2 linked regions of the Macaca mulatta genome follow. The protein of the gene in region 2 purifies or fractionates together with the protein of the main gene of each other region. This does not show direct contact. Links are inferred from orthologs where the notes say so. Each region holds a gene or a part of one and is shown on either strand. Other genes may lie near its edges.

The links. Proteins that work in one complex are often made in the same cells at the same time.
Region 1: the proteins of USP18 (region 2) and STAT2 purify together in Homo sapiens (affinity purification with western blotting; 6 studies listed by BioGRID and IntAct, with this or other methods). This does not show direct contact. The link is inferred for Macaca mulatta from reciprocal best matches to the Homo sapiens genes USP18 and STAT2.

What each region holds. Positions count from the first base shown.
Region 1 is NC_133416.1:63,528,694-63,532,947, reverse strand, and holds the start of STAT2 (signal transducer and activator of transcription 2), read left to right. Parts: upstream 1-1,447; 5' UTR 1,448-1,540; intron 1,541-4,254. Other genes in the region: APOF (apolipoprotein F), read left to right, coding at 1-375. UniProt on the Homo sapiens protein: Signal transducer and activator of transcription that mediates signaling by type I interferons (IFN-alpha and IFN-beta).
Region 2 is NC_133415.1:33,903,750-33,907,260, reverse strand, and holds part of USP18 (ubl carboxyl-terminal hydrolase 18), read left to right. Parts: intron 1-2,732; coding exon 2,733-2,812; intron 2,813-3,102; coding exon 3,103-3,249; intron 3,250-3,511. UniProt on the Homo sapiens protein: Interferon-induced ISG15-specific protease that plays a crucial role for maintaining a proper balance of ISG15-conjugated proteins in cells. Regulates protein ISGylation by efficiently cleaving ISG15 conjugates linked via isopeptide bonds.

The DNA of each region.
Region 1 (4,254 bases), on a different chromosome or scaffold from region 2:
ACTCAAAACTGCCTGGGCAAGGCCAGGGAACGAGGCCGAGATGGGGCCATAGATCTGGGATATGACCTTCTGATGACCATGGCCGGGATGTCAGGGGGACCTATGGGTCTAGCGATCAGTGCTGCACTTAAACCTGCATTAAGGTCTGGGGTTCAGCAGTTGATCCAGTATTACCAAGATCGGAAAGACGCAAACATCTCTCAGCCAGAGACCACCAAGGAGGGTTTGAGGGCCATCTCAGATGTGAGTGACTTGGAAGAAACAACTACCCTGGCTTCTTTCATATCAGAAGTAGTAAGTTCAGCTCCCTACTGGGGGTGGGCCATAATCAAGAGCTATGACTTAGATCCTGGGGCTGGGAGTCTTGGGATATAAAAGAAGGTAGTAACCACAGAACTAATAAATCTAATATCCTGACAAGCTGTATACATGTCTTCAAAATTTTAAACTCCGATTTATTCAGGAGGAAGGCTGTACAGTAAAACGTAGGAACGTAAATGTTTGGGGGTTGAAGTCAGAGGGTTTGGTTTTGAATCTAGGCTCCACTTGTTAGAGCCTCCGTGATCACTGACTGGTAACTTCTTTCTTGAACTAAGATCAGTTTTTAAATTTCTAAAGGAGAGAATGATTTTAACTTCAACGAGTTGCCCTGTAAATTTTAAATGACACAATTAATCTAAAGTGCTTATCACAGTACTCTCAATAAATAGCTATTAGCCAGGTGCAGTGGCTCATGCCTGTAATCCCAGCACTGTGGGAGGCCGAGGCAGGAGGATCACCTGAGGTCAGGAGTTCAAGACCAGCCTGGGCAACATGGCGAAACTCCGTCTCTACAATAAACACAAAAAATTATCCTGGCGGAGTTATGCACGCTTGTAGTCCCAGCTACCTGGGAGGCTGAGGCGGGAGAATCACCTGAGCCCGGGTGGTCGAGGCTGCAGTGAGCCGAGGTCGCGCCACTGCACTCCAGCCTGGGTGATAAGAGCGAGACCACGTCTCAAAAAAAAAAAAAAAAAAATACTGTTTTCATTACCTCAGCCCTCCTCTTCCTATCCCAAGGCGTCGAAATTCCGGTCCCACCCCTTCCCATGGAGCCCTTGGCGTCTACAGGCTCCTCAAGCTAGTTTCGGTTCCGTGGCTCACGAGCGGGTTCTCGAAAATCAGCTGTTTCAGTCTTGGGCCAGTCCACTAATTAGACTCCTCCCCTCGTAGAAAGTGCCTACTTGAACTTCTCCACCAATCGCTGGAGCTGCAGGTGTGGTTTCGGCTCAGCTTGTCCCGCCCCGCGGGGGGGTGTAGTTGCGGCGGCGCCAGTGAGTTCGCAGTCTGGGAAGGGCTTGACTGAGTGGCAGCCAGTGTCGGGGTGGCGACTGGGAATGGGGCCGCTCCGGACTTCCGCTGCCAACTACAAGGGGGCGGGTCCGAGGGTGTAGGCCGAAGTTGTAGGCGGGGCCTGAGGCTCTAGTACCCGAACTCCTTCTACGGACGGGAAGTCGCGACCAGAGCCAGTGGAGGGCGCGGGGACTGCAACCCTAATCAGGTACGGGCCCTGAGAGGGTGTGCTGAGGTAGGGGTGGGGGTGAGAGTGAGAGTTCCTCCCAGGGAAGGGCGACTGGCCCCAGGAGTTACGCCCTGGAGGGGGCAGCTTCTGTCCCCAGGTTGAAAGAGGAGCTGTCTGTCGCCTGCTCGGTTCTCGATCTTCTCCTGTCCAGCCTATCTCCCCAACCCCAATGCCCCTCCCCGAAAACTGCCCTGCAGCTTCCGAGACCCGGAATCTGGCATTGTTGGTTCGGTATCTGACGTTACTCTGCTCTGCATTATTTTTTATCTTCACCTAAAAACGATGTTCAAAGATAGATAAATCTAAAAACAAAGATAGATAAATCTATCGTCTTTATTTGTTTTGTTTAAAAGTATAAGCTACTGAAAGATGAAACATTGCCTAAGGTCACACACAAAATTCAGTTCATTTCAGAAAAGCTTCTTGAGTGCAAAATATGTGCTTAAGAGTGAGAGATAATGAGAAAAAATTGTTTTAGCTCTTAACCTCAGTGTTTGCAATCCATTCGGGGAGACCAGGTTTTTTGTTTTGTTTTCATATTTGAATCTTTGCTGACTTGCTCCTTTAATATCAGACACTTAAATCCTCAAGAATTGGGACCTCATTATTATTATTATTATTATTATTATTATTATTATTATTTTAGAGATAGAATCTCAGTATGTTGCCCAGGCTCGGTTTCAAACTCCTGACTGAGCTCAAGCCATCCTCCCGTCTTGTGGGCCTCACAAAGTGCTGGGATTACAGGCATGAGCCACCATGCCTGGCCACCTAATCATTTTTTTAACTTATATTTTTTTGTATCATAAAAGCAATACAGACACATAGTTTTAAAAATCAAGCACTACTAAAAGGGTTAAAATGAAAATAGCCCCTGCCCAATCCTTCCCTTCCCTTGTTCCTGCTGGAGGTAGAAGGGCAGCTGATGTTATTCATGTTAGTAGAAGACTATACCACCCCAAGCATTTCTTTTTACTTTGTAATAAAATCATGTGACCTTTTTAGACCACTAATGTGCATGAATTCTGTTTTGTTAGGCTCAGGCTGCAACAAGCTTAAGTTTCAGTTTCCTAAATAGACACCAGATGGCAGCGAGCAGGGAACAGTGGGGAGAAAGATGCAAGGCACAGCCTGCTTGGTGACAGGCAAAAGCCAATTCATTGTTGTTGTTTTGATTCAGAGACCGCACTCTGTCTCCCAGGCTGGATGTGATCTCCACTTACTGTAACCCCTGCCTCCTGGGTACAGGCCATTCTCCTGCCTCAGCCTTTTGAGTAGCTGGGATTACAGGTGCCCACCAACATGCCTGGCTAATTTTTTTGTATTTTTGGTAGAGATAGGATTTCACATTGGCCAGGCTGGTCTTGAACTCCTGACCTCAAGTGATCCTCCCGCCTCTTCCAAAGTGCTGGAATTACAGGCATGAGCCACTGTGCCCTGCCAAAACAAAAAAAACAAAAAAAATTTAAGTGAAGTTTCAGGATCTCACAAAGTTGATAACTTATAATCATATTCAAGATTCACAGGTCATAAACGTGTCATATTCTTAGGGACTGAGCAACCCGTTGCATAGCATTTAGATGTCTTCTAGCATGGAGCTCCTCCTTCCTATATGGAGGGCAGTTTATAGGGTGTACTTACCTAACCTCCAAAAAGATTTAGCTCCTAAAAAAGCTTCAGGTGGCCGGGCACGGTGGCTCACACCTCTAATCCCCGCACTTTGGGAGGCCAAGGTGGGCAGATCACCTGAGGTCAGAAGTTCCAGACCAGCCTGGATGACATGGTGAAACCCCATCTCTACTAAAAATACAAAAATTAGCAGGGCATGGTGGTGGGCGACTGTAATCCCAGCTAGTCAGGAGGCTGAGCCAGGAGAATCCCTTCAACTCGGGAGGCAGAGTTTGCAGTGAGCCGAGATCATGTCACTGCACTCCAGCCTGGGTGACAGAGCAAGACTCCATCTCAAAAAAAAAAAAAAGCTTCAGGGTCAGCAGGGATCATGCTGTAATAAATACTTAACATCAACACTGATCTTTAAATGCTTATATTTGTTTAGCATAAACAAATATAAACAACAAACACATAAATGCAAAATAAATGAATTAGAGAGATAGATGAAATAAGATAGTGGAAACAGTAGTTTGTTAAAGCTGGATGGTGATCCTTGTACTAGTCACTCTGCTTTAGTGTGTGTTTGAAAATTACCATTAGGCTGGTTATGGTGGCTCATGCCTGTAATCCCAGCATTTTGGAAGGCTGAAGCAGGCAGATCACTTGAGCTCAGGAGTTTGAGATCTGCCTGGGCAACATGGCAAAATCCTATCTCTACAAAAAATTAGCTGGCGTGATAGCACACTCCTGTAGTCCCAGCTCCTTGAGGGGCTGAGGCAGAGAATCGCTTGAACCTGAGAGATCAAAGCTGCAGTGAGCCAAGATCATGCCACTGCACTCCAGCCTGGGTGACCAAGTGAGACCCTGTCTTAAAAAAAAAAAAAGAAAAGAAAATTCCCATTAAAGCACAAAGGCCCACTTACTGAAGCTATTAAAATACAGGTTGGGGCCGGCTGGGTGCGGTGGCTCACACCTGTAATCCCAGCACTTTGGAAGGCTGAGGTGGGCAGATCATGAGGTCTGGAGATCAAGACCATCCTGGCTAACACGGTGAAACCCTGTCTCTACTAAAAATACAAAAA
Region 2 (3,511 bases):
TCACTTCTCCTCTTCCCATCCCTCACCCCTCACCATGGCCGTGTTTCCTGTTTCCTGTTAGCTCTTTAGAAATGCAAGTATCACCTTTCGCCTACCCGTCTCCAGACATTCCCTGCTGGGCAAAAGGAAGAATCTGTAAATGGAGGTAGGCTGATGGAGGTTTGACTGAGAACAGGGCAAGTTCTTCCAGCTCATCTTTCCTGAGACTTGGCAGTAGATTTGCAGCCCCAAGCATACCCACCAGGGAACCCTCCCTGCCAGGGGTGGCCTCGAAACTTCCACCTTCTAGGGGTTTGTCTTTCACCCACTAGGAAGGCATGGAGAAAGCATGCCCACTCGGCCACTTTTACAATTTACTTCTGCCCAGGAAGGTGCCAGCTCAGCTGGGTACATGATAACTGCCCGGTAGAAAACCGCCATTGCTCAACCCCTCACCCCCACAACACACCTGATGAAAATGCCCCTTTTTCCTCCAAAGGAGAAATGGCACATTAAAAGGCAGACTGCGTCGTGCTCCTTCCTCCAAGCTGGCTTCAGAATAAATTCACGTTTGTGTATGAAGCCTTCTTTTGTATCACATTTTTTTTTGTATCAGAGTTAGTTGAACAGCACATGCGGTGAGCAGCTAACCAGCTTTTCGGCTGCAGAGGCACTATGTTCAACTTTCCTTCCGTCCTCAGTCTGGAGAAGCTCAATCAACCTATCTCCAGGTGTATGGATTCTTTCTTTTTCTTTTTTTTTTTTTTTTTTTTTGAGACGGAGTCTCGCTCTGTCGCCCAGGCTGGAGTGCAGTGGCTGGATCTCAGCTCACTGCAAGCTCCGCCTCCCAGGTTTATGCCATTCTCCTGCCTCAGCCTCCCGAGTAGCTGGGACTACAGGCGCCCGCCACCTCGCCCGGCTAGTTTTTTGTATTTTTTAGTAGAGATGGGGTTTCACCGTGCTAGCCAGGATGGTCTCGATCTCCTGACCTCGTGATCCGCCCGTCTCGGCCTCCCAAAGGGCTGGGATTACAGGCGTGAGCCACCGCGCCCGGCCTGGATTCTTTCTTTTGCCAGCTCTAATCTGCTGTTGACCTCCTCTAGTACATTTTTCATTTCAGTTATTGTTCTCCTCAACTCAAGAATTTCTGCTTGGTTCTTTTTTTACAGTTTTTTCTTTATTGATACTCTTTATTTGTTGAGGTAGCATTTTTGTACTTTCTTTCTTTCTTTTTTTTTTTTAATTGAGACGGAGTCTCGCTCTGTCGCCCAGGCTAGAGTGCAGTGGTGCGATCTCCACTCACTGCAAGCTCCGCCTCCCGGGTTTACGCCATTCTCCTGCCTCAGCCTCCTGAGTAGCTGGGACTACAGGCGCCCGCCACCGTGCCCGGCTAATTTTTTTGTATTTTTAGTAGAGACGGGGTTTCACCGTGTTAGCCAGGATGGTCTTGATCTCCTGACCTCGTGATCCGCCCATCTCGGCCTCCCAAAGTGCTGGGATTACAGGCGTGAGCCACCGCGCCCGGCCCCCTTCGTACTTTCTTTCACTTTTTTTTTTTTTTTTTTTTTTGAGACGGAGTCTCGCTCTGTTGCCCAGGTTGGAGTGCAGTGGTACGATCTCGGCTCACTGCAGGCTCCGCCTCCTGGGTTTATGCCATTTTCCTGCCTCAGCCTCCTGAGTAGCTGGGACTACAGGCGCCCACCACCACGCCCGGCTAATTTTTTGTATTGTTAGTAGAGACGGGGTTTCACCATGGTCTCGATCTCCTGACCTTGTGATCTGCCTGCCTCGGCCTCCCAAAGTGCTGGGATTACAGGCGTGAGCCACTGCGCCCGGCTCTTTTACTTCTTTTGACATGGTTTTCTTTAATTCTTTGAACATATTATAACAGCTAAAGTCTTTGTTTAGTAAAGCCAACATCTAGGGCTTCTCAGTGAAAGGTTCTACTGATTGCTGTCTTCCTGTATGTGGCCATACTTTTCCGTTTCATTGTGTGTCTTGTCTCTTTTGTTGGAAAATGAACATTTTAGATGATGTAAGGTGGCAACACTGGACATCAGAGATGCCCACACCAGGGTTTGTTGTTGTTGCTGTTTTATTGTTACTGGGCAGTTTATGATTCTGTATTTGCCTTCATTGCTTTCTTGCACGTGGCCTTGTGGTCAGCCAGAGGGGAGGGATTGGAGCCCTTTCAGGTCTTACTTGGGCATGCGCCTGGCCTTCTAGATCCTCAGGAATGTATCAGTGCTTTTCAAAGTCCCTGTGGACATCTCATTCCCCAGGCTGAGTGCAGTGGTGACATCACATCTCACTGTAGCCTCAACATCCTGGGCTCAAGTGATCCTCCTGCTTCAGCCTCCCAAGTAGCTCTGACTACAGGTGTGCACCACTATGCTCAACTAATTTTTAAAATTTTTTATAGAGACAGAGTCTTGTTTTGTTGCCCAGGCTAGTCTCAAACTCCTGAGTTCAAGCGATCCTCCTGCCTTGGCATCCTGAAGTGTTAAGATTATAGGCATGAGTCACTACACCTGGCACTGGAGCTTAAGTTTCAAGAGGCGTTCTCAAAAATCAATACCAAACTTACTGTTCGTTTATTGATCACCTCTTATATAGTGCCAACTTAGCCTTGCAGTGGGGTGGAGGGCTAGGAAGAGACAAAATGGTGAGTATTCATGTATGTCTAGATACTAGGGCATGAGAAGTGACTCTGAAGACCTCACTAATTGGCTGTTCCTTTTCTCTGTGGCTAGTGTTTGTCCAGCATGATGCCGCCCAACTCTACCTCAAACTCTGGAACCTGATCAAGGACCAGATCACTGATGTGCACTTGGTAAGAACCTAGAACCAGAGCACTCGGAAGCTTAAGATGCTGCTCATTTAACTCATTCAGCTGTTGTTCCTGTAGTGTGTAGAGGAATAAGAGAGTTAATCCACATAAAACACTTATCACAGTTTCATAATATTGTTACTGGTAATATTTTGCACCTTTGTGAGTAGGCCAAAGAGCATTAGTGGCTACCATTTCTAGAGCTTCTGTCTCTTGGCTCCACCTTCTGGCAATTGGCCTGACCTGGCTTATGGTGGTGTTCCCATCTCACCTCTCTGCTCTCCCTCTTGCAGGTGGAGAGGCTGCAGGCCCTGTATATGATCCGGGTGAAGGACTCCTTGATTTGCCTCGACTGTGCCATGGAGAGTAGCAGAAACAGCAGCATGCTTACCCTTCCACTGTCTCTTTTTGATGTGAACTCAAAGCCCTTGAAGACACTGGTAAGGGGATTCTCTTGGTATTTGCTGCCCCCATATGTGTTAGTCCATTTCTGTTGTGATAACTCAATATCTGAGACTAGGTAATTTATTTCTTACAGTTCTGGAGGCTGGGAAGTCTTGGTTGAGGGGCTGCACCTAGTGAGGGCCTGCCTGCTGGTGGGGACTCTCAGAGTCCTGAGGCGAGGCAGTGCAGGGCATCACATGGCGAGTGCAGTGCAGGGCATCACATGGCGAGGGGGCTGAGCGCGCTCATGTGCCGCCA